Linked DNA regions of Cricetulus griseus. The protein of the gene in region 5 purifies or fractionates together with the protein of the main gene of each other region. This does not show direct contact. Links are inferred from orthologs where the notes say so. Each region holds a gene or a part of one and is shown on either strand. Other genes may lie near its edges. The genes, in order: Ybx1, Rsl1d1, C1qbp, Stau1, Ddx21, Larp7 and Dkc1.

The links.
Region 1: the proteins of Ddx21 (region 5) and Ybx1 purify together in Homo sapiens (co-immunoprecipitation; 4 studies listed by BioGRID and IntAct, with this or other methods). This does not show direct contact. The link is inferred for Cricetulus griseus from reciprocal best matches to the Homo sapiens genes DDX21 and YBX1.
Region 2: the proteins of Ddx21 (region 5) and Rsl1d1 purify together in Homo sapiens (affinity purification with mass spectrometry; 3 studies listed by BioGRID and IntAct, with this or other methods). This does not show direct contact. The link is inferred for Cricetulus griseus from reciprocal best matches to the Homo sapiens genes DDX21 and RSL1D1.
Region 3: the proteins of Ddx21 (region 5) and C1qbp purify together in Homo sapiens (co-immunoprecipitation; 3 studies listed by BioGRID and IntAct, with this or other methods). This does not show direct contact. The link is inferred for Cricetulus griseus from reciprocal best matches to the Homo sapiens genes DDX21 and C1QBP.
Region 4: the proteins of Ddx21 (region 5) and Stau1 purify together in Homo sapiens (affinity purification with mass spectrometry; 4 studies listed by BioGRID and IntAct, with this or other methods). This does not show direct contact. The link is inferred for Cricetulus griseus from reciprocal best matches to the Homo sapiens genes DDX21 and STAU1.
Region 6: the proteins of Ddx21 (region 5) and Larp7 purify together in Homo sapiens (affinity purification with mass spectrometry; 5 studies listed by BioGRID and IntAct, with this or other methods). This does not show direct contact. The link is inferred for Cricetulus griseus from reciprocal best matches to the Homo sapiens genes DDX21 and LARP7.
Region 7: the proteins of Ddx21 (region 5) and Dkc1 purify together in Homo sapiens (co-immunoprecipitation; 3 studies listed by BioGRID and IntAct, with this or other methods). This does not show direct contact. The link is inferred for Cricetulus griseus from reciprocal best matches to the Homo sapiens genes DDX21 and DKC1.

The regions. Positions count from the first base shown.
Region 1 is NC_048595.1:32,872,904-32,877,281, reverse strand, and holds the start of Ybx1 (Y-box-binding protein 1), read right to left. Parts: upstream 3,071-4,378; 5' UTR 2,922-3,070; coding exon 2,762-2,921; intron 2,363-2,761; coding exon 2,299-2,362; intron 1-2,298. UniProt on the Homo sapiens protein: DNA- and RNA-binding protein involved in various processes, such as translational repression, RNA stabilization, mRNA splicing, DNA repair and transcription regulation.
Region 2 is NC_048600.1:35,521,255-35,525,179, reverse strand, and holds part of Rsl1d1 (ribosomal L1 domain-containing protein 1), read right to left. Parts: intron 3,577-3,925; coding exon 3,483-3,576; intron 3,399-3,482; coding exon 3,276-3,398; intron 1-3,275. UniProt on the Homo sapiens protein: Regulates cellular senescence through inhibition of PTEN translation. Acts as a pro-apoptotic regulator in response to DNA damage.
Region 3 is NC_048600.1:84,786,929-84,791,548, forward strand, and holds the start of C1qbp (complement component 1 Q subcomponent-binding protein, mitochondrial), read right to left. Parts: upstream 3,055-4,620; 5' UTR 2,990-3,054; coding exon 2,764-2,989; intron 2,357-2,763; coding exon 2,206-2,356; intron 1-2,205.
Region 4 is NC_048599.1:12,445,601-12,450,320, forward strand, and holds the start of Stau1 (double-stranded RNA-binding protein Staufen homolog 1), read left to right. Parts: upstream 1-1,648; 5' UTR 1,649-1,887; intron 1,888-4,720. UniProt on the Homo sapiens protein: Binds double-stranded RNA (regardless of the sequence) and tubulin.
Region 5 is NW_023276806.1:274,615,380-274,619,304, reverse strand, and holds part of Ddx21 (nucleolar RNA helicase 2), read right to left. Parts: intron 3,459-3,925; coding exon 3,339-3,458; intron 2,617-3,338; coding exon 2,543-2,616; intron 1,715-2,542; coding exon 1,555-1,714; intron 873-1,554; coding exon 738-872; intron 1-737.
Region 6 is NW_023276806.1:31,273,890-31,277,389, reverse strand, and holds part of Larp7 (la-related protein 7), read right to left. Parts: intron 753-3,500; 5' UTR 752-752; coding exon 565-751; intron 392-564; coding exon 291-391; intron 213-290; coding exon 129-212; intron 29-128; coding exon 1-28. UniProt on the Homo sapiens protein: RNA-binding protein that specifically binds distinct small nuclear RNA (snRNAs) and regulates their processing and function.
Region 7 is NC_048604.1:750,594-755,127, forward strand, and holds the start of Dkc1 (H/ACA ribonucleoprotein complex subunit DKC1), read right to left. Parts: upstream 2,865-4,534; 5' UTR 2,725-2,864; coding exon 2,709-2,724; intron 2,009-2,708; coding exon 1,941-2,008; intron 1,498-1,940; coding exon 1,411-1,497; intron 1-1,410.

The DNA.
Region 1 (4,378 bases), on a different chromosome or scaffold from region 5:
TCCCAAGCTTTTTAATTTGAAAATTTTACAATAAAATAATCTGCATTTTGCTGGGCGTTGGTGGCCTTTAATCCCAGCACTTGGGAGGCAGAGACAGGCGGATCTCTGAAAAAATAAATAATCTGCATTTGAAAATGTCTTGGAACAAACAATTTGACCAAGTTTTAAGAATGCATCACAGGTAATAATTTAGACTTCAATGAACCTATCTTTAAAGGTGAGATGAACTCTTATATTTGAATTATAAAACAGCTGAAGGTCCTAGAATACAGGGCCTGGTGTTAGTGGCGCACGCCTTTAATCCCAGCACTGGGGAGGCAGAGGCAGAGGCAGGTGGATCTCTGAGTTTGAGGCCAGCTGGTTCCAGGACAGGCTCCAAAGCAACAGAGAAACCCTGTCTCAAAAAACAAACAATCCTAGAATATACAACTCAGAATTCACAGTGCATTCCAAATACCTATCTCCCATTTTACATTCTATACTGTTTAAGTAGGACAAACCTCTAGTTCACTGAAACCAAACCTCAACAGTTATTATCTCATTTAAAAACCAATGCGTCAATATAATGGTCTGCTTAGAAACAAGCACATTTTAAACAATTAAATCAGTAATTGGGGTTAAGATATTCTAACAAAGGATCATCATAAGCTAATTACATTTAAGTTGCCCAGAAAAATGATCAACTAAGCTACTAAGGACAGTCTATTGTAATCTACACAATTGCACAACATAGAACAGTATACAAATCTTGGAAAAAAACTGCTTAAAGGAAAGTGATAAGCCTAGCCAAACGCTAAAATTTATTAAATGCATACCAAAAAACCCCACAGCTAACCCAACTAGAAATGTGGCCAAAGAGGACTAGTTAACAGCACTGGGCTAAGGGTTCTAAAACTGTCCTTTGGAAGGTAGGGTATACAGACTAGTCTCAGCATCCTCTGGGACTGTTAGGATAGAAATCTCAACCAAAGCACCGACAATGACCAGTTTAAAGCCACCAGGTAACTAACCCTATACAAGCAGCAAAATATTATATTTCCCTCTTTGCTCACTAGTAACCCATGGGGGGGGGTAACATGGAAAATGTAGCATTCCTCAGGAAAGCGAACAGCCTACCACAGTAGAAAATCCTAGTCTGGAAAAACAAAATGTTTCCCTGTAATTGCTACTATAGAGAACAGACCATTAAGTGATTGTAATCGCTTCTGTTTGAGTGTTTCCACAACACGGCGTGGTTCAATGAACGGTTTTTCATCACTCCGTTATTTTAAAAGACTAGCTGCCAATTTGATAGTGTCCACTTCACAAGCACTCAGTCACTCTTAAGCGTCTTTCCCACCATCTACTTATTTAACGCCTTCTAAGCAAGCATGTAAGAGAGAAAATGCTGAAATGGCGCCAAGTCTCACAGCTGTACGGCCAGGATTGCTGCTGGCACTCGCGGTGCTCTACACCCATGCAACTGCACTAGCCTTGGCAGCCATCTTGAAAAAGATGCCGGGCTCACAAGGGAGCCCAGAGTGCAGCCACTGCACTCACCACCACCACCACCGGCTACAAACCATTCTAAACCATTCTCTGGATCTATGAAGATGTAGTTTGCAACTAGATTAAGGACTTAAGGCCACTCCAGTAAGCTACAGCCAAGCTTTCACAAAAATTGATTTGATCAGCCATGATTCCCGGACAAGGAAGTAGAAGAAATAAAAATTGAGGAAGAACCATTTTCTTCGGATGTATTATTTGTCGTTTTGGATAAATATGAATCGTCTTTGGCTATAGGAGTTCTATAGAAAATGTGCTCGAGGTTCTACAAGGAATGCATATTTGAGTCGACTAAACAAAGGCAACATAACCTTACAGTGCAGATAACATCTCAGGCACTTGACATGTCAAATCATGTTCCCCAAGAGGTTAACAAGGTGAAAAAAAAATCACCTGTATGTTAATTAGTGGGTCACATTCTTACATAGCAATTTCAACGAAGCAGGAAGGATGTCAAGGTTAAAAACGTGCTTAGCCTGGAGTTGCCTCAGTTTGATGCAAGGTAACTGTTAAGGCATGGTTCATGCGCCGCGCTTGCATAGACCTGCTTTGTGCCAAAGCTTTGAGGCTAGCTAGCTCAAGATTGGTATTCAACGGCAAAACAAAGCAAGCCTACAGACCCCACTAATCCCGTCACCCAAGAACAAACACCAGGTTTCCAACCCCTCTCCCTGTCAGGCCCGCGGTGGAACCGGCCCTTGAGATTACCCATGCAGGGAGGCGGGCCCGAGCTTTTCTACCCCGGCATCTCACCTGTTGATGAAACCGTATCCGTTCCTTACATTGAACCATTTTACTGTTCCCAAAACCTTCGTTGCTGGAAAACAAAGCACAACAAGGTCCAATCAGCAGCTGGCCCTGGAAGTCGGTCCAGGATCCGGCCGCAGGCCCGGGCCGCCGCCCTCACCGCACACGTGGGTGCGCTGGGCAGCGCGGGTCCGAGGTGGGTGTGCGCCCGGGAGGCGAGCACGTGAGGGCCGGGAAAAGCAGCCCGCGCCGCTCCGGTTGCGTAGGCGGCGGGGCGGGGATCCCGCGCACGAGGACCCGAGGCTGGTGGGCGCGGGGGAGGGGCGGCCGCGGCCGGAGCGGCGGCGGGAGCCCGGCGTGCGCGCGCGGCGGGCCTCGGGGGGGAGGGGCGGCCGCGCAGTCGGTGGCTCGGGGCCGCTCGCCTAACGGTCCGGCCCGCGGCCCACCCCCGGTCCCCTCTGGGGCTCACCGATGACCTTCTTGTCCCCGCCGGCGGGCGCCGCCGATGTGAGGCCGCCCGGGCCGCCACTACCCGCGCCGCTGCCCGTGGAGCCGGGCTTGGTGTCGGCGGCGCTGAGGGCGGCGGCGGGGGCGGCGGGCGGCTGCTGGGTCTCGGCCTCGCTGCTCATGGTTGCGGTGGTGGTGACTGGGGCCGGCGGCGACGGCTGCGGCTCCTCCCGGGGTGTGATGGTGACTAGGCCGGCGGCGGCGGTGGGGCTCTCAGGGCTCTCTGGGGTCCGCTCTCCGCTCCCGCTACCGATCGAACTAGCGAGAATGGCGGGACGGGCGGGATAAGCCCCGCGATAGGCCCGCCCTCATCCTCTTTTATTGGCCAGGATCATCGTCAATCCTACCACCTGACCGGGTCCCTAGCGCCTATTGGCTCGCGCTCCGCGTCTCTTGCGCGCTCATTGGGCCCTTTGGCGACTAATTCGGCCGACCCACAGCCGCTCCTGCCTTCGCCGCCATAGAGACCGGAACTAGAATGAGCTGCTCGGCCGTGAGCACCATAGAGTACCGGGAGGACGCGTAGAGGGAACGTGTCCGCACGGGGTTGCGCTCGTCGCGCACGTGGGCCGCGGTGGCTGGGCCTACCCGTGCTTCTAGAAGGGGCTCTCTCCCTGGACCGGGTGAGCGCCGCGGCCTCCTTAATGGCTCAGGCTTTTGGCGGTCCAGTCACCTTGGAGGGACCACGCAGGCGCTCCGGCTGCCACGAAATCAGTGTTTTCAGGGCGGGGGTGCTCCTTTACCGGGCGCACGAGGAATGTGTTTCATACTGGCCACAAATTGGATTTAATTTAGTGGATAAGTTAGACTCCCCCTTCCCCCCACACCAAGCAACAATGTTGACAAGGATTGCAATCCATGTTTTTATATCCTGTAAAATACAGGTTGTCTGGTGCTACTGAATCCCCCCGCCTATACCTTCATTCATTCTTTATTAGGCATCTACTATTGACGAGGCATTTAAATAGTTTGCCAGTAAGTTTCTGCCTTCTGATGGAGGCACAAACTTACACGCCTAACACTTCATAGTTGGGTGACCACAGCCTTTGGGGAAGGAAGGAAGTGTTGGGTGGTGACTTTTCAGGCAAAGATAGGTTTGTGCAAAGGCCTAGAGGGCCTCAAGGAAAATGCAAATAAAGGGATTCAGTAGGAGTAAAAAGAAATATGGGTTGTAGAGGTGGGCAGGGTCAACTAGGTGTATTTAATGTGAGATTGATTCATCCTGAGGTCACAAGTGGGGAGGGTAATTTTTAGAGTTTTAAGTAGGGAGTCTCATCTTAAAAAGAAAAGGCTGCTGCTTGGGGAATGGGCTGCAGAAAGAGGAAGGATGGAAGCAGGGAAAGCAATTAAAGGGACCCAAGGTGGCTCTGTGTAAAGGCACTTGAGACCAAACCTGAAGATCCTAGTTCCTATATGAGCACTGTGGCATTCATCTCCCACCCCCCCACCCCCCAGTAAATAAATACATGTAATAGCAATTACAAGAAGAAAGTTAGTGTAGTAACCCTTATCCCTTGCCGGCTAAAGGCCTCCCTTTGTCAGTTCTGGAAAATCTGATCCTGAAGCAAGTTAGGCTTCT
Region 2 (3,925 bases), on a different chromosome or scaffold from region 5:
GGAAGAGCAGTTGGTGCTCTTAACCTCTGAGGCATCTCTCCAGCCCAACCACCCACTTTCTTAAAACAGGATCTCTTATAGGATCTGGGGCTTGACAATTAGGCTACACTAGGCTGACAGGCCAGAACCCCAGGGATCCATCATCTTTCTCCACCTCCCCAGAATTGAGATCATACTCAGACACCATGGTTAAATGGAGAACACCTTTACCAACCCTTGAACCTCTAGTTTTTAGGGTGGTCATGGCTTCAGAGTACTTCCAAGGTAAAATGCCAATCACTCCTTGGGGGGGTGGGGGGGAAGAGCGTACCTGGCCGCCCATGTCTCTCTGTTTTTCCAGACAGAGTTTCTCTGTGTGGTCCTGGATGCCCTGGAACTCAGAGATCCACCTGCCTCTGCTTCCCGAGTGCTGGGATTAAAGGCGAGTACTACTATGGCCCAGCCTGTTTCTTCATAGACTGAAAACTACAGCGATAAAGAATTGGGATGTTCCAAATGGCGCTCTTGAGTCACCTGAGCAGGGACCCACAACTGAGAAAGACCTTTAATGGATATAGAAAGACCCACCCTAACTTTAGACAGTACATTCTAGTTGCAGGCCAGACAATACAGAACATGTATGTCAGAAGGAGGAAGAAAGGTCATCTGCAGAGCTCATTCACCCAGTTGCTGATGTCAATACCAGCTCTCAAAAAAATTCCACAGGTCTCAGTCACCAGAGTGGGAGTGCTAAAGCATGAAACAGAGTGACCCAAGAAAGTGTGAGATAACTTGTTACTATTACAGGGTTAGCTGATTATGGGTAGAGACAACCAGCTGTAGCATCATAAGTCTTGTACTTTATATTGTTAGACTGTGCCTATAAGTTTTAATTAAAGACCGCTACATGAGGACATTGGCTTGGTGATGCACACCTTTGGTGGAGTACCACCACAGGCAGATGGACCTCTGTGAGTTAGTTCAAGGTCAATCTGGTCTACATAGTGAGACCCCGTCTAAAAAAAAGCAAACAAGCAACCAGGTAGTGGTGGTGGAGGCTTTTAATCCTAGCATTTGGGAGGCAGAGGCAGATGGATCTCAGTGAGTTCAAGGTCAGCCTGGCCTACAAAGTGAGTTCCAGTTCAGCTAGGACTGTTATACAGAGAAACTCTGTCTAGAACCGCCCCCCCCCCCCAAAAAAAAAAAACAACTATGAGGTGGAGAGATGGCTCAGTGGTTAAGAAAACTAGCTGGTCTTACTCAGAGGTCGAGTTCAATTCCCAGCAACCACCCAGTAATGATAACTGGTGCCCTCTTCTGGCCTGCAAGGATACATGCAGACAGAAACACAGTTTACATAATTAAATACCCCCTCCCTCCAAAAGCCAAGAAGCAAAACAAATAAAGGGCTTATAAAAATTTTTAGCAAGGTGTTGGTGACAGTTCATCTGTGAGTTCAAGGCCAGTTTGGTCTACATAGCAAGTTCCAGGTCAGCCAAGGCTACATAGTGTGACCTCGTCTAAACAAAAGTGGCTGGAGAGATGGCTAAATGGTTAAAGAGCATTTGTTCTTGAAGACCTGGTTGGATTCGCAGAATCAACATGGAGGCTCACAATAACTCATCAGAGAATAATTCCAGAGACTTCTGACTTTCTTGGTCATGGAAGGACACATACACACACAGTATAGAATATTCAGAACTAAGTGAAACATTCATATACATAAAACAAAAAATTCGAAACAAAGCAAAACCAAAGATAAACTGAACCCCTCCCCCAGGATATGACTTATGACAGTATTCCAAAAAGTGAGGATAACTATTTTTCTGTCAACACAGAGGCTACACTTTAGTCTGCTCCTGTTTTAACCAGCAAATGCAGCTCTGCAGTTACTATCCTGATTCTCTGGCAGTGGCCTGGTTGTTTAAATCTCGGCCTAGCTGGGGTGAAAGCCTGATAGTTCAGAGAGGTGGAGTAGCAACTAGCTGACCTTCTCTCTTTGTTGGCAGCATCTCTTAAAGTATACTTCCACTCCACTAATTCCTCCCTACTACTTTCTTGTGTGTCTATTTGTTTCAGACACCTTTGGACTCTATAATTACTTTCTGTCAATTAGTTCCTAACTTGATTTCCTGACCCCAAGGTTAATAAAAATGCAAATTTGGGGTTGTGATCGAATATGCCACGACAGACAACTTAGAAAAGAATGAAATTGTGTGATGGTTTGAGTAAGAATGGCCCTTATAGGCTCTTGTATTTGAATTCTTATTCATTAGGGAGTGGCACTATTTGAAAGGTTTAGAACATTGGGCCTTGCTGGAGAAGTGTATCACTGGGAGTGGGCTTTGAGGTTTCAAAGGCCCAGTGTCTCTCTTCCTGCTGCCTGTGGATCTGGATGTAGAACTCTGAACTCATCTAGCACCATGTCTGCCTGCATGCTGCAATGCTCCCCACCATGTAGACAATGTACCAAACCTCTGAACCATAAGCCAGTCCCAATTAACCAACAAAAAGAGATGGCTTTGTGCTTTTTTCTTTCCCCCAGAGACAGGGTCTCTCTGTGGCTTCGGAGGCTGTCCTGGAACTAGCTCTTGTAGACCAGGCTGGTCTCGAACTCAGAGATCTGCCTGCCTCTGCCTCCTGAGTGCTTGGAGACTTAGTGCTTTTCTAATAGACCTAGATTGAATTCCTAGGACCAACATGGCAGCTTACAACTGTCTGTAATTCTAATTCCAGGTGATCTAACACTCTCAAACATACACACAGGCAAAACATTAATACACATAAAATAAACCTTAACTTTCCCCCTAACTATTGGACCCACATGCTAAGAACATGCCTTACCACTGAGCTATAGTCTTACCATTTCAGCTTCTGTGTAGCTTTGGAGCCTATCCTGGCATTCGATCTGTAGACCAGGCTGGCCTCAAGAAACGCCTGCCTCTGCCTCCCAAGTGCTGAGATTAAAGGCGTGCGCCACCAACGCCCGGCTCAGCTTCAGTCTTAAATGTATTTAAAACGAGGCCTTATAATATAGCACTACTGAACTTGTACCACCAGAACAACTTGCTAAGTTCAGAACAACACTCTGAACTTGATAGGATCTATCTCCCTTGGCTACATTTAGATGATTATTATTATGTTTTTTTGAGACAGGGTTCTGTGTAGCCCTGGCTGTCCTGGAATTAACTCAGTAGATCAGGCTAGCCTTGAACTTAAGAGTGCTGGGATTAAAAGCAGCCCCCCCCCCCACTTTTTGATTATTATGCCCACCCAATATTTTAACTTAGACTAACCTTTCTTTTCATGCTACGGAAGGATAAGGTGTTTTCATCCTGACATGTGACAAATGAGGAAAAGATGGGAAGGGAAACAGACTTCTCAGTTTTCAGGAACAAGAGTTTCACACTTGGCCATTTCTGAAATAAAGAAATAAATTCCATCTACCCATATACTGCTGCTGTTTTTAAACATTAAAGACTCATGTTCTTGCCATACTGTACCTCTGGCAATTTTTCTGAAAGCACTTTTGAGACAGCCAGGATGTTTTCAACAATGTGCTGAGTCTCCATTCCAGTGTGACCAATACGCACAGTACTAGAATTTAATGAATAAGATTCTTAACTTTTGAATTCAGAACGACATTCCCTAAAGTAAAACACCACCATGCTCAAAGACACACACACAGGTTGAACCATGAGATGGCTCAACTGGTAAAGGAACAACTAGTCACACAAACCTGACATTCTGAGCTCAAACCAAGGAGCCTAAGGATGGGAATTCAATCCCAGTTAACTCAGTGTAAAAGAGAATTGACCCCAGAAACTGCCCTGACATCCATACTCCCATCCAAAATGGTGATCCCTGAAGCTGTTCTGAGCAGAATCACCCCAAAATGTCACTGCTATCTCACAGTTCTCTTCTCCTTCTAGATGAGTCCTTCTCA
Region 3 (4,620 bases), on a different chromosome or scaffold from region 5:
CTTGTTAGGAATTAGTATGTGACAAAACATGCTCTAAATGAGATAAATTTCTTTGCCATGATACCTGGAAGCAGAAGTTCAGGACCATTCTACTTCAGCAGTGCCAACCCACATAAAAGCACACTGAATTGCAGAACTCTTTGCAACCTTTGGCCAGGCAATGGTTTCTTAGCCCTAACATTAAAAAGTCTAAGTGTGTGTAGTGCTGGAGATTGAATCCAGAGCCCCACACATGTTAGGCAGGCAGTCTGAACATGGCTTACATTTTCCCCTCATGTATGCAGGAACCTAATTCCTTAAATTAATGATATTAAGAGGGCCAGACATCTCTCCATCCTTGGTGCTAGGGATCAAGTCCAGGGCTTCATGGATCTACCCAAGATTGACACCCACTAGTGTCAACCTGTACTGTTTAGAAATGGGGCTTTGCTAGGTATATTCAAGCTAGTTGGGCTCCTGCTCCCAAGCCAAGATATCTGCAATTGGTACTGGCTGCAAAGAGAAAAAAATCAGTCTTCTACAATGAATAGGTATATCATACTTCAGGGTAGGTCCCAATGGCCAACACAAAACAAACTCAATGCTATTTTATACACATTACTTAGATTAGGCTAGCCTTGACTTTAAAGATCCACTGGCCACTTCCTCTTGAGTACTGGTGTGCCTGGTGGTTTGTCTTTTTTTTTTTTTGTAAGAGACAGGGCATGTAGTTGGATTTGGTAGGGAGGGTGGTTAGGAGAGGAGCTCACTCTGTAGTCCAGGCTGCCTCCCAAATGCTGGGATTAAAGGTGTGCACCACCACTGCCCTGCAAATTTTGAGAGAACTTTTCCACCCTGTTAGAAGACAATCACCAAATGTGGCCACACCCCAGAGTCAATGACCCTTTTCTTCTGGCTTTGAACTTTTCTAAGGTTTTTCAAGCCTTGGCTGTCCTGGAACTTGCTCTATAGAGCAGGTTGAGCTTGAACTCAAGAGATGTGCCTCCCTGGGATTTAAGGTGTGTACCACCACAGCCCAGCCTAGCTTTGAACTAGGGTTACAGGCCCCCACTGGATAAAGCTGCTTTCTTACACATGTGTGTTTAAGGGGCACTCACTGGGGGCTGACCCTGGGCCTCACACATGCTAGAGAAGCCCTTAGAGGCAGGACTCTAAGACTGGTGAAAGAGTAACAAATCAGCATAACAAAGTTAAAGGTTTTAGGGGCAGCAGGTGTAGTAGCATAGGCCTGAAACTTTAGCACATAGGATCTGAAGCAGAAGGATGAAGAACCAGTCTGTGCTACAAAGTACCATAGAGACCCGTTTAGGGGAGGGGTAAGCTAAGCTTGACAAAGAACTCTACCTCTGATGGCCTTTCTACACTGTAATTTCATCCTGTTACTTTTTTTTGGGGGGGGGTTCTGAGGCGGGGTTTCTCTGTGGCTTTGAAGGCTGTTCAGGAACTAGTTTTTTTGTGTTTTCGAGACAGAGTTTCTCTGTGTAGCTTTGGAGCCTATCCTGGCACTTGTTCTGGAGACCAGGCTGGCCTCGAACTCATAGAGATCCTCCTGCCTCTGCCTCCCGAGTGCTGGGATTAAAGGCATGCCCCACCAACGCCTGGCCAGGAACTAGCTCTTGTAGACCAGGCTGACCTCAAATTCAGAGAAAGGTGGGCTGGGACTAAAGGCATGGGCGTGCCGGGGTGGGTGGTGGCGCACGCCTTTAATCCTAGCATTTGGGAGGCAGAGGCAGGCGGATCTCTGTGAGTAAGAGGCCAGCCTGGTCTACAACAGCTAGCTCCAGGACAGCTTCCAAAAGAAGCCACAGAGAAACCCTGTCTCGAAAAACAAAAGTTACATATCTTGCATTTTCAACTGTTATAAACACAAGCCAGAGGAGATAATTTTATGTGAATTCTAAACAAATCAGCACTTTAAACATTCCTAAAATCTAGTGCCTAAATCCAGGCAGGGCACAGCACTGTCACCAATAACCCAATGCTTGCCTGTGTCTGCCATCCCAACAGCCTTCCCTTTACACATTAATTACCAGGCCACAGCAAATCTGTCAGTGAATGTCCTCCCTGGAACCTAAGAAAATTTCCAATTGCATGCTTTCTCAAAAGCCATTTTACCAAAGCATGGGGCCTAAGCTCAGGCCTAATGGGGATGGCCAAGACAGAGTAAGTGATAAAGTCTCCTAGAACTCCAGGGCCAGTACTTACTTTTCTCCAGCAACTTTGCGCGATAATTTAGCCTCTGTCCCGTTCACTTCCAGCTCCCAATTCCCAGACATCTTGGGAAGGGATTTATGCTTCTGGATTTTCTTCTCTTCCTTAATTTCATCCGTTAAGAATTCAACAAAGGCTTTGTCTCCTAAAAGACAACCCAACATGGTCAAAAAAGAGAAAGCCAACTGCCTTACCCTATAGACCTGGACTGTGCCTAATCTGTTTCTATGGCTGCTCTATGACTCTAGCCCAATTCACTCCGGAAAACGTCCGTTTCCCACTCTGTAAAACCAGGATGTCTCTTCTAGCAGTTATTTCTCCTTAGTGTACTTAGTATTATTGCTCTCCGTATAAAACAAGAATTCCCAACTACCCGCTTTCACTTGCCAAAAGCCATGTCCAGCAACCACATTGTCAAACCACGACCCCTCCGGGCTTTTGCCAAGTCATATTTCCAAGATACGAGGAGTGGGGCCTGCGATCGCGAGGGTCCAGCTCGGGATCCGTTCCAAGCTGGGTCCCCACATCCCGGCCTGGATGCGTGAATCTTACCCTCGGTGTGCAGAGCTCCACAGCCGCAGGAGCAGGGCGCCGGGGGCTTCAAGAGGTCGGAACGCCGTGCGGAGCCGGCCCGCACGCTGAGCAGCCCGAAGGGCCGGAGGCACGGTCGAAGCGCGGGCTGCAGCAGCTGCGGGAGAGGCGAGGCCGGGGCAGCGGCGCGGAAGCCCGTGGCAGCGGCGCCCAGGGCGCGGGGCACGCAGCGCAGCAGAGAAAGCATGGTGAGGAAGACACGTGCGGAGTGAGTGACGACCCTGTCGAGCAAGACAGTATATATGACCTCGAACACCGCCGGAAGCCACGCCCCCGCCCGGGAAGGTCTCTTACGTCACCGGGCGACAGGAACCGAGCCAGACTGCGCCCTCTGCTGAGGGCCTCCAGTGCAACGGGGATGTCCTGAATCCCTTAGCTCTGTTCTCCCTGGGCTGATGGGCTGTCTCTCCTTTACTGCCCACTCTTCTCAATCCACATACTCTGAGATCACCTCACTTAAAAGTCTTCTGGATGTGGGGGACCCCCTGGGAGTCTGCTTTTCTTCTCTGATCCACAGGACCCTTGGGGAGCTACTGGCTGCCTTATGGCTAGGTGCTATTCATTTTCCCTCCTGCAGACACGGCCTGTTTACAAATATGCAAATTATCTGCATATTGTCAGGGCCTTAAGAGCATGGACTTTGATCTGAGTTACTTCCTAGGGTGCTGCTGATGGTATATAAATCAACTCCCCTCTAAATAAAATTGGCATTCTTCTTTCAAGAGTGACCCGCTGTTTTATTTAATCCGCAGATCCCTTCTTTCAAACCCTTAATAAGCTGTAGCCTTGGACAATGCATCTGGAATTTTTGCTGGGCGGTGGTGGTGGTGCACGCCTTTAATCCCAGCACTTGGGAAGCAGAGGCAGGCGGATCTGGATCTTTGAGTTCAAGGCCAGCATGATCTACAAGAGCTAGTTCCAGGACGGCCTCCAAAAGAAGCCACAGAGAAAACCTGTCTCGAAAAACAAAACAAAAAACCACTTCTGGAACCTTCTAAACATCGGGAATGCTCAAGTTGACCTGCACCCAGCTGCTATGCAGTGGCATCTATTTTGGAAACCTCTGCACCCCCTAATAGTTCATCCAGCTTTTAATGGACTATCATTTTCCTGGAAGCAGGAATTCATGGCTTACATCATCACATTATGTTAAGAATTGAAGATACCAGAGGCTGGACGTAAGGCTCCGTGGTTAGGATCATTTGTTACTCTTGCAGAGGACTAGAGTTCTAGTCCCAGATCTATCTGGAGTTTCTAGGGCATCAGACTCTGATTTCCATGAACACCAGGCGTGAGTGTGGTGCAGACATGTAGGTTAAACAGGCAAACACATAAACAACAAACACTCATGTCTTATACTCCCGGCACCTGGAAGGAGACAGCTCTGAGTTTAAGGAGACAGCCTGCCCTGTCTACACAGTGGGTTTCAGAACAGCCAGGGTTACATAGATCTTGTCTGGCAGCTGGGCGGTGATGGCAGGCACTGTTAATCCCAGCACTTGGGAAGCAGAGGCAGGCAGATCTCTGTGATTTCGAGACTAGCCTGGTCTACAAGAGCTAGCTCCAGGACAGCCTCCAAAGCCACGGAGTTAAAAAAAAACAAACAAAAAAACAAAAAAAACAAAACCTGTCTGGAAAAAAACCCCAAAATATAGATACCAAGTCTTACGAAATGAATGGCAATAAGACTACTGTTTAATAATCTAAACAGCATTCTATAAATAAGGGAAAGAAGTCCAACAAAAGAATCATAAACAAAGATTCATTTTTTTATGTATTTGATAGTCAAAAGCACTACACAGGACTGTTTTTATGTTT
Region 4 (4,720 bases), on a different chromosome or scaffold from region 5:
TTAACTTTTCCCCATCAAGGGGAAGCTTTTGTCCCAACATTTTTTTTTTTGTCCCAACCATTTATTGAATGAAATCCATACTTTCCTCACCACTTTGAGATGTTTTAAAATATTTATTTATTTATTTATTTAGGTTTTTCAAGACAGGGTTTCTCTGTGCAGCTTTGTAGACCAGGTTGCTCTCAACTCACAGAGATATGCCTGCTTTTGTTTGATTAAAGGTGTATGTGTGTGTACATCATGCTCAATCTTTTTTTTTTTTTTTTTTTTTTTTTTGCTTTTCTGAGATTGGGTTTCTCTGTGTAAGTGCTCTGGCCGTTCTGAAACTCTCTCTGCAGACCAGCTGGTCTTGAACTCACAGAGATCCACCTGCCTCTGCCTCCACTGGCATTAAAGGTGTGCGCCACTGCCACTGCCACCACTTGGCTGTAGTCTCTTTTTCTTCCTTCCTTTCTTTTCTTTCTTTTTTCTCTTTTCCCTTCCTTCCTTCCTTTCTTTTTTTTCTTTCGTTTTTTGAGGCAGGGTTTCTCTGTGGCTTTGGAGGCTATTCTGCAACTAGCTCTCGTAGACCAAGCTGGTCTCCAACTCACGGAGACCCACCTGCCTCTGCCTCCCGAGTGTTGGTATTAAAGGCTTGCGCCACCAATGCCTGGCCTCTTCCTTCCCTTCCCTTTCCTTCCTTCCTTCCTTCCTTCCTTCCTTCCTTCCTTCTTTCCTTCCTTCCTTCCTTTCTTTTTGAGACATAGTTTCTCTGTGTTACAGCTCTGGCTGCCCTTGAACTCACTTTGTAGACAAGGCTGGCCTCGAACTCATAGAGATCCTGTCCAGCCTCCCAAGTGCTGGAGTTTGAGGTGTTAGTCACGAAGTCCAGCTTTTTCTATTGCTTTCTAAAGAGGGCTTTCTTCCATGATATCTCCTTCTAACATTTAGAGGTAGTCCAGTGTAACAATTTTCCAGCCAATTTGGGAATGGCTTATCTGAACTCTGAAGTGCTTTTCAATCTTGCTTTCCTCATATAGCACATACTTCAAGTGATCTAAACACACATACACATACACAATTTAAAAAATTAAAACAAGAAAATCTAAGAAGTCAGCTTAAAAAACTATGTGATGAGTGGGTGATGGAGCTCACTGGTAGAAGTGGTTTATAGTTCAATTCCCAGGACTGCATCAAACAAGCCCACACCAGCCTCTTGTCCACAGAAGCACACTCTGCTTAGAGGGGTGTGAGAGCAGCCAGAAAACACTTGTGCTTGTTTGTTTCAGGCTCATACTTCGCACTAGAATGTAAACGTCATGAGGGCAAGGACATGTGCATCCCAGCCGCTTTCTCAGCTTCTGACCTAGCACAGGGCAGCAGGTTAACAAATGCTGACATAGAGAAGGAGTGACTGCGCAGAAGCAAGCATAAACCCGAGAAAGAAAGGAAGACAGGCCTGCTTTCTCGGCCCAGCTTGAGCTCCCGCGAAACTACAACTCCCAGCATGCCCCGACACAACAGAACCTGTCCGGCCCCTGACGCCCTAGCGTGTCTAGAGGGCGCAGGCAGGCTGCGGCGCCCGCCGGGACTTGTGGTCCCAGCCGCGGTGGGGGGGGCCGGCATGGAGGCGGGCGGGGGCCGGGGCGGGCGCGGCCCCTCCCCCGTCACTTCCTGCCGGGCTGCGGGCGCCGGAGCCGCTCTTCAGCGTTTGCGCTGGCGGCCGTCGCGCCTGTGTCGTCTGCCCCTTTTTCTGTCCCCCCGGCCCGGCGGCGCCCGCCTCCTCCGCGGCCACACCGCCTCTTCCCTCCCCGGTCCCTTCGCCTTCGCCCTCCTCCCTTGCTCCTTCCCGTCCTCGCCGCCGCCCAGGACCGCCGGCCCGTGGACGAGCTCCGGGGAAGCAGGCAGGTGAGGCGGCCGGGCCCGGGCCTCGGTGGGGCCCTCGTAGGCACGGCGGCAGCGGGAGGTGGGCGGCGGGTGGGCTAGGCCTCGCGGGCGCGCGAGCTGCGGCCCAGGCCCGTCCCCGCCCGGGGCCCTTCCCGGAGGAGGCGGGCCCTCCGCGCCGCTCGTGGGCTCGGTGCCCGAGTGAGACGCGGGGCGCGGGCAGGGGCCGGGCCGGTCGGGAGCCCCCCGGGTCTCGGCGCTGTGCACAGTGCTGCAGCCACTGCCGAGCCGCGGGACGGGGTGCCAATTCCCGGCTCTGCCCCTTCGCGAGCCACTTCACACTCTTTGTGTCTCTGTTGTGAGGGGACGGGAGGGGGGTAGAAGGCTAATCCTGTCCCAGCCCTGTCCCTGCCTCTTCCGACTGTGAAGGTGCAGTGAATTGGGGGCGTGTAAAGCGCTTATCAGCGTGCCAGACCCATGTCGTGTCCCAATAAACGGTTTGCATAATTTATTAGCGTGATATGAAGGTATAATTTAGGGTGCAGACTGGACAGAAGTTGACCTACCTTCCCATTTCGCTTTCCTCCGAGGCAGAAGAACCCGCGTGCCCACTCCCAGCGCCTGGGCATTGTGCTTGCTTAGCATCGGAAAGGGGCGCGCGCTTAATGGGGACACTTGCAGGCACATCTGGATGTAAAGACGTAGCCATCCTTTCTGTAGAAGCAGCTGCGGGGAACCCACCGCTCCCCCAGGCTCAGCAACCTGTCCCATGTTTCCCTGCCACCATCCATCCAGAACCTTGTTGTCATTCTTTTTTCTGGGAAAGTTGCTGGCACAGGCTCCCCTCCTGTGTGTCAGGCTCTGGAGGTGCAGTGTGCAGATGTGAAACCCTGCTTTCCGGGTCCGCATCTGCAGATCTTCACTTTCTTTGGTTGAATTTGTCTTTCACTCTAAGGTCCCAGTTAGCAGTTTCCCCAAACCCTGAGCACAACTCCCTTTCTGTGGCAGTATTGCTGGTGTAGAAACTTTATTTTGTTTTGCCCTTCGTGATGTGGGGGCCTTCTTTAGGGTCACTCTTTTCATCTGCTTGTGGCTGTAATTCTTGAGATGGTGCTAGAAGAGATTTAAACTAGGATTTTGGCCTTTTAGGCATCTGTGCTTATCACATGTAAATTACGTCGCTACTTGTTGAAGTAAAAACTAAAAAATACAGTTGGTGAGTGTGGAAGGGGCAGTCTGAACCATTCTGGTGAGCTTTTAGAAGAGCTTCTTTTTTAGTCTGACTCAGCCTTTCTCTCTCAAGATTAAGTTCTTTTTTTGAGTGTTACACCAGCGGCAGCTGTTGGGGAAGTGGAAAGACAACTTTTGGGATTCAAAGGTTTTGGGATTCAAAGGTTATCAGGCTCCTTGCTGCAACTGCTTCACTTGCTGAGCCCATCTCAAAGTGTCCGTATTTGTTTTAAGTATGTGCTTAATGACATAGACATCCCCTTCCTTAAAGACATGCAAACTCATTCGCAAGAATAATATGGTGTGTTTGCTGTGCCCAACGACTCTTCTATGCCTTAGGATTACTCTGTGTGTGGGGGGGGGAGGGGGAGACAGTTCATATATGCATGCCCTTGTGTGCCTGTGGAGGCCAGAGGTCAACCTCTGTCTTGCTCTTCCTTAATGGCTCTCTGCCTTATTTTGTGAGACAGTCTCTAAGCATGACCTACCCATTTCTTCAGCCCACAATCACCAGATTGTTTTGGGCAGTGAATTTCCTTAGTAAGTGGCGAATGTTTATATCACACCCATCTCAATAATGCAAGGCATTACTGTTTTTGATATCTTCCAAAAATTTGTAACTGTCAGGAAATATTGTGTATTGTGTATTGTTGAATGTAATGGCTTTTTAACAGCTCTCAAACAAACGATTCTGTAAGTATCACCAAGCATATTCTGTGTCACATCGAAAATTATTTCAGGGAAGTGATATTTTAATGCTGTGGTAGAGAACTTGAAGTTATTTTTTTAGCCTTTTTTTTTTTTTTTTTTTTTTCAGTATCTCTAGTTTAGGCTGACCTTGAACTCCTATCAGTCCTCCTGTCTCACCCACTGAGGTGCAGAGATTACAGGTGTGAGCTGTCATGCTTGGCTTCTGAAGTTATTTTTAAGTATGAAAGTTAAACACTATAGAGGGCACTGTGTATTGGTCGCCCGGCTTTGGCAATTATTAACTCCTAGCTAAGGTCAGTCTTGTTTCTACTTGAACTCCCTCCTTTAAGCTAGCTTATTTTTTTGGTTTTTTGTTTGTTTGTTTTTTTGACACAGGGTTTCTCTGTAGCTTTGGAGCCTGTCCTGGAACTCTATCACTAGACCAGGCTGGCCTCACAGAGATCTTCCTGCCTCTGCTGGGATCAAAGGCATATGCCACCACCACCTGGCTCTAATCTAGCTTGTTTTGAAACAACCCCCAAACTTATCATAATCTTAGTCATTTTGACTTTAACTAGATCACCTCAGGCTGACTGACAGTTTTTGTTTTTTGTTTTTTGTTTGGGGGGGAGTCTGGCTTCTTTGTTGAGATATGATTAATACAAAGCAGGAAAACAGCTGCAGAGTTAACGGATTCCCCTCCTCAAGGTAGAGCCCAGGTTTCAGTCTTTCTCCTTATGAACCGAGTCAGTTATTCCTGAGCTATTAATGACTAGTTGAAAAATGGAGCAGTGATGAAAGTCTTTGACCCTGACACTCAGGAGACTGAGACAGGCAGAGAGACCCTGTCTCAAAAGTAAAAAGAAAAGGGCTATGGGACTAGCTCATTGGTGGGATACTTGGCTGGCATGCACAAAGCTCCAGGTTTAATCTCTAG
Region 5 (3,925 bases):
TGAGCTACACACCTCCCCACCCACCCACAGGCACAGATATCAGGCAGGCGCTTAAGGGCCCTAAAATTTGTGGGCTTCTTCTCCATGCATGGGGAACTCCAGGAACACTGGGACATTCAGGTATCTAGAGAACTTTTGCCCTTGAGTAGGCCTCAGGGACTAACGCCTTCATTGTAAGCACTCAAGAGGGAAGGAAAATTCAACAGGGCGAATATTATGCCCTAAGAACTCTGTCATACAGGTTAAGAACTCATCTAATTGTGTATTGAACCTGGGAGTCTTCACCGAGAGTCAAAGCTGAGTCTTGAAGAGCACTGTGGAGGGGAAGCACCGTAAGCAACCAAGGTCAGCCCCCACGGGGAATAAGGCACAGGTTGCTTGGTATCCTCACAGTAAAGGATGCAAGGGGTGGTGATGTGGAGCTGGTAAGTAGAACAAGTTTACCCCCAGTTTAGGCTCTCTGATCATGCAAATCCTACATCATAAGCACTTTCACCTAACACAGGGGCTCTGGGTTCCCACATGCACCCATGTATAAGAACATCAAGGGATCCCATAATCAAGACTATTTCCCCAATAATACTTATCTGCCCTTTTTATTCTCATTTCTCCACAAAGGTAAAGTGATATCTGCACAGCAGTTTGGGTAGGAGGCAGCACCATGGGGGATGCAGACACATCCTGGTTAACATGCCAACCACCAAACTCAGCTGAGGTCTTGGAGGCCCCGCACTCACCAGTTTTCCTTTGAGGAAGACCATTCCCCTCACTTTTGCATCAATGCTCTCGCCCAGCTGCTCCTTAAGTTCTTTCCAAGCATAACTAATGTTGTGCATTTCAATGGAGCACCGTAGGATCATGGTCACAAAGCCCTTAGGGGAGAAAGGGGCATAAAAGTTAGGTCTTGAAAACCAATCAGCAGCATAATAAACACTTGCTCTGGGAGGGAAGTATCCCTAGGATAGCTCCATTGACGACAGCGTACCACCACACCACCCAGCCACACAGAATGGGCACAGGTAGACCAAGGCCATCTTAGGAAGGCAGTGGGGAGCACCAATGTCGGCACCTAGTCATTAGTTTCCTAAAGTGTCTGCACTGGAGGAGATTAGCTGAAGCACTTAAGCTACCGTGGCCTGCAATTATTTCAATAAAAACAGGAAACTTCAATGTACCAAAGGAATTCACCATCACAACATTCAAGTCAGTGGATTTTCATTCAGTTTTAATAGATTGTAATTCATTTATTTGTCTCTCTGTGAGCTTAGGTGTAGAGGCCAGAGACCAGGTACAAAAATCTGTTCTGTCTTACTATGTATATCCTGTGGTTGTGAGACTTGGCAGCAGGCCATGTACCTGCTGTGTATTACTGGCCCTTCAACCCATGAGCAATCAGTGCTGTTTCTCCTCTCATTCCACCCCTGTTGAGTACGTATTTAATTAGGACACAGTCAGTGCCTTCCTAACCCCTAGAGAAAGTGAAGACAATTTACAGAGTTCAAATAAACTCTTTCAGGTTTGCTTATGGCATTTTATAAAGTACCAAAACTTTACCGCTTGTGAGTTGATCAATGAGCGCTGGTCGACTGAAGTGGCCCCTGAAATGTGGGCCAGTGCGGCTGCCAGGGCCTCTACAGCTCCTTTCTCCTCAATCAGCTTCTCAGCAGATTGCTTAAAGTGATCAATGGCAGTAGGAGGCACAGAATCTAAAAGCCTGTGGTTTGAGAGTAAACTTGTTAGAGAATAATTAAGACAAGGAACACTACAGTAACTGACAATAAATGAGTTTTAAAATGGGCATCAGCACAACTAGGGGTGTAGCTAAACTGGCACAAAGTCAAGTCCCGGGTTTAATCCCAGTTTATTGCAGATGCTGCCACGTGCCTGTAATCCCAACACTTAGAGGAGGTGGAGACAGGGGGATCTGAATTGGAAGGTCACCTTGAACAAGTTCCAGGCTCTCTCGGGACAGAAGACTATTTCAGCATGAAAGAAACAATGAGGTTCCACAGCACATTTGTTTGCTCTTATTTTGCTCTTTGGGATTGGGTCTTATTACATCTGCCTGGAACTTCCTATGAAGAGCAGGATGGCTTCACACTTATCCTCCTGCTTGAATTGAATGACAGATGTCCATTACTATGCCCAGGTCCCATGTGCCACCAACGCCTGGCTTCTACAGGATAATTCTACACAGCAATACCACTACAAATAAAATCGCTACAAGATACAGCCAAACAATCCTTGCTCCTATCAGTTTTCATTCTACCACAAAGGGAAGAAGTGAATGAAGATTTGGAACGTTATCTGTGATCCCATCTAACCAGGCACAAAGTGGGAAACATCCTTAAAATGTCCAACACATACCTAACTCTTGACAGTGGCTTCCCTTGAGAAACAGGGCAGGGATAACTAGAAACATGGATATATTTTCTACCAAGCTCGCTGTCTGATGAAAAGTAACTGGCTGCATTAACTCTTTATAAAGAATACAGAAAAGCAGCAGCATGGAAACAGACCTTGGCGATGGTGGAGAACATACCTGATGGCATCCTTGCTGGAGGCTTTTATTATTTCTGCTGCAGATGGAACACCTATCCGTTTAAACTTAATTCCCTACAAGAAAACAAACCACAATTTCATGTACAAAGGTTATTGTTTCTGAGAGTAACTTTCTTTTTTAAATTTTAAATAGTTTTCTTTTTTCTCAGATTTATTAATTACGTATACAGTGTTTTGCCTCAATGTGAAGATGGCACCAGATCCCATTATAAATGGTTGTGAGCCACCATGTGGTTGCTGGGAATTGAACTCAGGACCTCTGGGAGAGCAGTCAGTGTGCTCACCTCTGAGCCATCTCTCCAGCCCAAGAAACTTATTGTGATATAGGCTGATCCTCAATGTGAGACTGATGATTTTTCTCATCCTTAGTGTCAGGCTATGGGTTTGGGAATGGAATTAATACCACAGGAGAACGCCTACCTTACCACCTCTAATCATGGACACTGCTTCCCCAGTGTTTGAAACTCATGGTGATCCTCCTGCCTCAGTCCCTCAAGTGTTGTAGGTCCATTTACCACAACCCAGTTCCCTCTATCCTTCCAATGCTATCTCTCACACCATCCCTTCTCCATACTCTAATCTCAAGTATTTCTGGTCACGTTCATACCATTGTTCATATTATATATACGAATTGTCTTTCAAGTATAATACGTATCACTATTTTCAAACACAAGTTATCTAACCCATATTTAAGATGCTTTCCGCCAAGGTCCTAAAGACTGTCTTTGCCTTCAGAATGTAGTATGTGCTGAATTCGAGTTAGAAAATCACCTTACCGCTTTCTGTTCCACTTGTGCTAATTGGTATTCATCCTTGTGCTGATAAAAGCAGATGCAAACCCCTGTCCTTCCAGCTCTGCCTGTCCGCCCCGAACGGTGAATGTAGGACTCCACATCCTATGAAAACCAAGCACAGGAGTGATATAACTAAGATTAAGGAGTGTGTGCAGGTCAGTGAATGAAACTATGAGCTTCAAAACCTCTCAAACAGTGCTCACTAGCCTGTGTGCAAATATTCCAAGGGTATGTGTATTTCCAAGCTTCAAGTGACTATAATAAAAGTATTAAAATTTGTTTTAATAACAGTTTATTTAACTCTATACATTCAAGTATTTTTTTAAAAATTTGTTAATAAGGTAGATTGTTTCTATTTACAACAAAAAGACATGGGACCAGCCTAAATGTCCAACAGACTAATGGATAAGGAAAATGTATATGGACATAATGAATTTTACCATATCACAAAAAATTCAATGATAAATTTTGCAGTCAATTGGAAAGAACCAACTTGGAAGACAAACACTGAATATTCTTTCTTATATGCAGAGAGTAACTTCTTTATCTATCTATCTATCTATCTATCT
Region 6 (3,500 bases), about 240 Mb from region 5:
TGTGAGTAACATTCTTGGGAAGTAGCTCCTGTAAAAACCATAAGTGGCATGAACACAGTTTTTAAGCATTTAAATAACTACATTTTATCAATAAATGGAAACTAGAATTAAGTTTGTGTTTTTCTTACCACATACACGGTGCGTTCCTCCTCATCCTTTGGTCTCTCTCCCAAGGGCTTTTTTCTCCGGATTCTGGTCCCTTCTAAGTCCAACTTTTAAAAAAGATAATTGAGTTTTTAAAGTAACAGTTTTGTGTGATAATTTGATTAACTTGTAGTGAAAAAAATTACCTCTACTACAGATGAGCTTTTCAATGCTCTGGCTATTAGCTTCCCATCTGTGGTCAATTTCTTCATTTTGTTGAAAGACACCAGAAGAGAGATGTCCACATCTAGTTGCAAAATGTGGTAGATACTGTTAGCTTTAAAAATTGTGTGTGTGTGTGTTGCTGAGCTTATGATTTTAAGAATCATAATAAAAACAGGCACTGGCCCCATAAACTTGGATGCTTTGGTATTATTGCCTGATAAGGCCTGAGAGTTACTTTAGAGGGAGCAAACTTACATCCATCTCTAGATTTTTCGATTTGCTCTCGAAGAAACCTGTCCTTGTGAAGGTTTGCATCCCCGAACCAGAAGTCCACTTGCTTGGCAATGTCTGCAAGCACCTGTTTAACCCTGGAGCGTTTTTTTTTTTCTTCTTTTCTCTTCTCAGTGCTTTCCTGCATAGTTTTTTGATTTTCAGTTTCCATTCTGTAAAGTAATATAGGAGTTAATATCACCTATTTTTCTGGACAAGAGGGCCTGAGGCCTTAGTTAAGTGTGTGTTTTGCAAGATGCTTCACATGCATTGAGGCACCTGTCTCCTTCCTGAGCCTACTTCCAGCCTTAAAGCAAAAACCAATGTCGGGTGTGTGTGGCTTGGTGGTCCTCTCAGCAGACCATGGTTCAATTCCCAGCACCCACCTGTCTTAAGTTCCAAGGGATTTGATACCTTCGTGGAGGCTAGCAAGTTCATAAGTTGATTCAGGCAGGCCAGCCTGAATACACTCAGCATCCACGTGCAATGGACCTCTTTAAAAGATCCCACCCACTTACGGGGTAAGGGAGGGCAGATAGGACTTTTCCTGTCTCCCTTTTCTCTTCCAGTCCTCTCGGTCTCTTTCCCTTTCTGTTTCTCTTTACATTATTTCCTTACCTCTTTTCTGTTTCCTTCCCCTCCCCCTCTGCTTTCTAATAAAGCTTACTTAAGCTCTGTCTGCCTGGCATGTTTGTCCCCTGCCTCAGTCACCCTCTCCTGCTATGGTTCCCCATGCTTTATCATAACAAAGCTCTTCATGCATCTCACCTAAATCTTAATAAAATATGCATTTTACCAGTCAACTTTTGGCATTTTCAAAGTATAAGCTGGCCAGCCAAGTACCAGTTTTGAAAGCATACAAGTAATAAGGCATCTGCTTGAATGCTGAAGACACAGAATGCAGCTAGCTGCACATCAAAACTAATAACTGGTAAAACAGTGAGGTAAATAATATATAAGCAGAGGCCTCAGATTTCACACCTGCCATTCTAGTGGAACTTTACTATTAGAGCTAATGTCTGCCCAACCCCAGTGCTTCCCTGACATCCCAGTAGCTCTTACATTCAGAAATGCTTTCCTTGTAAATAGTTTCTTCATACGGTTTTAAGAGTTTCCCTTTTCTGATTCCTTCTACTGTGTTTTACCCTCATATAGTGTCTATGACTAGACTCATATCTTGGCCTCTGTTGTTGACTCATTCTTTCTGGGGGTCCTGGCTAATGAGTATTGGGCTATACACCTCACAAAACACAGTTATTAGTTCCCCATTCCAATAGTCAATTGTTCAAACTCCATTTGTTCATTTAGAAGAGTTAACATAATAAAAGAATACTAAAATTTTACCAGATTTTTACCACTTTGACAAATACCAACTACAAAACAAAAAGACCAGAAAGTATTCTCAATTCTTCCTACTGTACACTATCAGTTGTACTAGCACTGCCTTTAAAATACAGCCTGAACATTAACACTTCTCATTCTAAATAAACCACTTGGTCCAAGTTATTATTATGTTTCATTTGAACTATCCAAGATCTTCCTTAATAGTCTAATTGCTTCTATTACTGCTTTCTCTCTCTTTTTTTTAAAAGATTTATTTATTTATTATATATACAGTGTTCTGCCTGTATATATGACTGCACATCAGGAGAGGGCACCAGATCTCATTACAGATGGTTGTGAGCCACCATGTGGTTGCTGGAAATTGAACTCTGGAAGAGCAAGTAGTACTTTTAACCGCTGAGCCATCTCTCAAGTCACCCTACTACTGCTTTCTTATAATCAATTTTTGTACAGGATAATTACTTAAATATGTAAATCAGAACAATTCTTTGTACAAACATTCCCAAAGACTTAGCACATTCAGCACAGAGCCCAAAGACCTTACAGTGGTTTACTAGATCCTATTTAATCTGACCTGGACATACTTCTCCAATGGTTCCTTCTACAACTTTTCAGCAGGCTTATAACATGTTATCCCTAAGTTCCTAAAATATGTTAAAGCCATTTCCATCTCCAGACCTTTGTTCTTTCTGTTGTTGTTGTTTTGTTTTTTTTTTTCAATACACCTATATAGTATAATATTCACCCAGGTCTATGAATGCCACTGTTTCAGAGGCTTTTTTTTTTTTTTTTCATCCAACCTAAAATAGTCCCCTTGATGACAAGCTGTACTATATTTCCAACATTTCTTTCTATGCTCATCACCCTCTGGAATCAACAGCTTTCTTATCTATCTACTCCACTATAATCTAACTATATAGAGGCAGAAGCTTCAACTTGGTTACTACATATTTGTGAAGTAGTTAGATTTATTTAAAAGTACCTGGAGATAGGCATGGTGGTATACACCTAAATCCCAGCCAACATTCATGAGGTACTGGCAAGTGTACCTCTAAATTTGAAGTCAGCCTGGTCTATATAATGAAAATAAGGTATTAAGCATTTCAAATCCTTTTCTAAGGTGGTAAAAATATAGAATACAATGATCACATAGCAGACTCTACTGTTAAGTGTTAATTATAAAGGTCAGACTTCAAACTCTACAGTTCTTTCCCATTAAAGCCCACCATCTAAAGCAGTGATTCTTAACCTGTGGATCAAGACCCCTTCTGGGTCACATATCAGATACTTACATTACAATTCATAAGAGTAGCAAAATTACAGTTAAGAAGTAGCAACAGAATAATTTTATGGTTGGGGGTCACTACAACATGAACTGTATGGAAGGTTCACATCGTTAGGAAGGTTGAGAACCACTAGTGGAATTTATAGCCACACTACTTTATAGCCACCAGTTCTAAAGCAAAGCAGACAGAACAGTAAAAACACAAGAATGTCACAGCTACCAGTCCACTCTCTTAGCCCAGAGGCCCTCCTTTGTGTTTCTCTTAAGATTCCAGTTCAGAGTGATCAAATAC
Region 7 (4,534 bases), on a different chromosome or scaffold from region 5:
GTTTTTTTCTATTATTAACACCACTATTGATGTGACATACTATTAAGCCTTCTTATATACTGGGGAAACTCCCAATACTATAGATAAAAGGAAAAATCTGAGAACTTAGAGTCAATGCTCTAAAGACACAAAATAGATTTGGCTTTCTCAGATCACCCAAATTGAAGATGGCTGGCAACTTTGCTCAACATGAACAGCTTGGTTCTGCTCCAGATTACCTACCTCGGCTCTCTGTTTCTTTTCAGTTCCTGACTCCTAAGGCTTAGCGACCAGTTAGGAAGAATTCACCAACTGAAGCCCATCTTTCATCATCAGTTTAGTTTCATCATGCCTACTACAAATAGCAATCCTTGTTTAATTGTCTCTCCCATCTCTGTGTGCTATTTTTCCAGGGCCAACATAAGAAATGCAAATGCCATCCAAAAGACAGTGAATTATAATCAAGCAGAAAATCAACTTGGTTGAATGATATAAACAAACTTCACTATTTTACCACAACTTTCACTATTTTAAAATTCTTGGTTGGGCCAGTGAGATGGCTTAGTGGGTAAGGATGCCTGCTGACAAGCCTAACAACCCAAATTCAACCTCAAGAACTCAAACTAGTTGAGAATGGACTTCTGCAAGTTGTTCTTTGACTTTTGCATGCATGTCATGTGTGATGTGCACCCCCTATCTCATCTACACACTCTAATAAATGAAAAAAAATTTATAATTAAAAACCCTCTTTGTTAAGAGATGTCTCAACTTTATAGGTGGTATCCACTTTGTGAAAATTACAAATTTTAGTTCAACCCATTATTCAATGCTACTATTTAAATCCCTAAATAATAACCATAAAATCTTTGACATATAAGGAACTGTTAAGCATGTTTCACAAAATACCTGCTATAACTCCCAGCACATCATCCTAAGAGAAAATATCATGAGCAACTAATACAGTAAGATTAGTTCAATGTCTAGGCCAAGGTCACATACAATCTTGATTCAAAGGTGTCTGGCTTCAAAACTCATGTTCTTAGGCACTGAAACAGTCTACAAGAGATGATTTCAGAAGTGCAATTGTTTAAAAACTGATGGCAATTAACATTTTGGTGACTACAATGTGCTAGAACAATGTTGGATGAATTACAAATTTAAAAAAAATAACTGAGTCCTTCATCTCAGATACATTGAAAAATTTATCTTAATGCTTCATCACTTGACAGTTTTCTAAATGTAAAACATGCTGGCACTAAGCATTCTTTTTTCTCTGAGACAGGGTCTCTCTATGTAAACCAGGCTGGCCTAGCCCACTAGGATTAAAAGCATTCATCACCATGTCCAGGCCAACAACAAGCATTCTTTATTAGCTGTTTAATTAGAACTAATATGAAATTCAAGCATTCATCTGATACACATAGCACATACCTTTAGTAACAAGGGCCACTGAGAAGTGTCTAATTGAGCCACTTTAGATTCTGGCTTGATAAGAAATTCTTCAGCATGCTGAATTTCCTTTAATAAAGCAGAAACACATTATCTTCCCACCTGACTTTGGACAATTCTAACACTAGAACAGAAGTGAATGACTTTTAAACAAACAAGGGGGAAGGAGGGGTGTTGATTTCTGAAATTGAGTGTCACTAGGGCCTCTGAAAGAGATCTGAAAAAGGAGCTCACTAAACTTTGGGGATAGGGAGTTAAGTTTAAATATTTTAACAAAACTGTGGGTCTGCTGATGGAATAAGGAACAAAAATTCAGGGAGAACATTTCACCATTTAGTAAGCTATGCATGATAGAAAATTTCTCTGGAGTTGTTATTTCAGGTCTTTGCTGGTTCTTACATAAAGACCACTGAGTGCCAGCATATTGCTTGAAAGTATTTTAAAGCATTTCCTCCTTTAATGTGTTTAAATATCTCTCTCACTCAAAGCAAAGTAAAACATTTCCTACTCACAGCTACATCTTCTTCTTGTAATGGCTTCCGGTCTTTTTTCTTCTTATGCTTCTTTGGGACAGTAATTACTACAAGAAACAAACTCAAGATTTGAAGATTTCTTTGAAAATTAAAACCAAAGTTTAAAATTAAGCATAAAATCAGGATAGACAGAAGAAAATAGTTTTAAGTCTATCATTACTAAAGAAAACTTACATTTGTGAGGCCAAACACTAGATGGCTTAGCTGGTAAATGACTCTAGCACGTGTTGGCTTCCCTTCGGGTTCTCCACGTGGCTATGGCAAGGCCAAATATACTTAAGGAAGCGCTTGTCCACAGGCTGGAAAGTTCCACAACCAACCACTGCACCATCCGTAAGGGCTTGTGATCTCTTAAAATCTTCCTGCAAGTCTGAGTTACACTGGCTCCCGGCTCCTCTGCCCCTTCCTCTGCATCTTTGCTATCCTCATTTCAGTAATATCCTGTCTAGTGGCAGAAGAAACGCTACCACGTCTTCTTATCACGAGAGTCTCCTCAACGGCTGAGATGCCTTTGGAAGGGGACCCGGTAAAGTCTTTTGGGCAAGGCCCGGACCTAATGGATTCTAGTCACTGGAGGTTTCTCGTACTCGCGCATCCGCCTATAGAGCTAGGGCCTAGCGGCGAAGCAGCCAAACAGAGGGCGGGAATGCGCGGAACCGCAGATCACGATACAACCTCACTATCACTAGCTCACAGCTTATCAGGAGGCCGCGCAGGTCTCAAGGCACGACCATCCGTAACCCTTACCTTGTGCATCCGCCATCTTGCACCGTACCGCGTGCGTCCCGCCCAAGCCTCCACCAGCTAGGAATCACAGACTCCTAAGGTCTGAGACAGGTCAGGCCGCGCCGCTGGGACCCGCCCACCGTTGCACCTCCCCTAGCTTGATGGGACTAGGAAAGGGAAGTGGCGAAGAGGATGGCTAGTCGGGGCGGGGGTGGTGGGGGGGAGAAGTCTTGAGGAACGCGCGGGCTGTCTACTCAATCCCATTGGCTGACTCAGACACCGAGGTGCGACTACGCATGCGCCTGGAAACTCCTCCCAACCCTTAGCTCTCTGCTTAGGAACCTCGGAGAAGCGCGCACGGCAGCAGTCTGGAGCGAGTGGGCGTGGCCTCCACTGTGCCCTCTTCTAGGTTTCAGTCTATCTTCTGCTTCAGCGCAAGCACACCCTACTTACCACGCTATAAATATTATCTAGTGCTAACTCATATCGACATTTTCTGTTTGCCATCATGCCATTCTCATTTGAAAAGGACGTTGAGGTACAGAGAGAGTGAAAGTGAAAGCCTTTTGCTTCTTGATATCCCTATCAAGTTATGACTGTATTGGCCAATAGGAATTCAGTGCGAGCCTCGTGTGGACTTTTAAATTTTACAGCAGCCTAATCAAACTAAAAAGAATGAAAATGATTCTCAATAGTTAACTCTACATAACCCTGCACATCTGAAATCATATGTTAACAAGCAATATGTAGTGGTATGTGATATTTTACTTTTGTTCTTGTGGGGGGGGGGGGGGTTCGAGACAGGGTTTCTCTGTGGCTTTAGAGGCTGTCTCCTGGAACTAGCTAGCTCTTGTTGACCAGGCTGGTCATGAACTCACAGAGATCCACCTGCCTGTTCCTCCCTAGTGCTGGGATTAAAGGCGTGCACCACCAACGCCCGGCTTACTTTTTTTTCTTGCATGAAGTTTTTCAAGTGCCTCATACTTAACCTGTATACATTGATTCTAACTTCAGAGCCGGGATCTAAGACAAGCTCAGAGCTCTAGTGGCTACAATATGTGTAACAGCCAGGAAGTAAGAGATCCAGGATTTAGTCCCGATTTATGCTATTAATCTGTGCTGTTGCCTTTCGTCTTAAATCTCTGGAATATCCTTCTCCACTCTATTTCTTATTCTACCTCAGTAAATTCTTTCAGCTTTCTGGATACATACCCTAGTTCTAGTGAATACGATACTTCATTAGTTATCTAATACTTCATTGTAAATGGAATCGTTTGCAAATAGTTTTCCAGTTAGTTGCTGCTGACAACAAAAATATTCCTTTTCTTCTGATCTGCAATGCCAAGATCATATTTTTTTCACTTTTGTTTTTACTGTGGCTTATATTGGTGTTTTCTTGCCCAATTCTTTCTGGAATTTATTTTGATAACAATGGTAATGATCAGAATTGACTATTTACAGATATGACCCTTAGAACTAAGGATTATTGTTTTATAATGTCCCATGGTAAATATTTGGCTGAGTGAATTTGAAGTACTCATTCTCCATTTGTCCACTGGCTTCATCTTTGTCCTATATTGATGCTCAAATCTTTTAGGAAAAATTTTGCTTTCAGAGAGTTCCAGAATCTGGTGGTTTTTCTTCACCCTTACTTCTCTCACCATCATTATAATGCCTCTATTTCTCCAGTGTCCTCCTGCAGGTCCACCTTTTTCCACTTTTCCTAAATACATTGTCTTAACACAGCAGCCTGAAAGTGGCATTAAACTCAGGTCCTGTCTGTGCTTAAAATACTTTAAGGGGCCAGGCAGTGGTGGCACACACCTTTAATCCCAGCACTCAGGAGG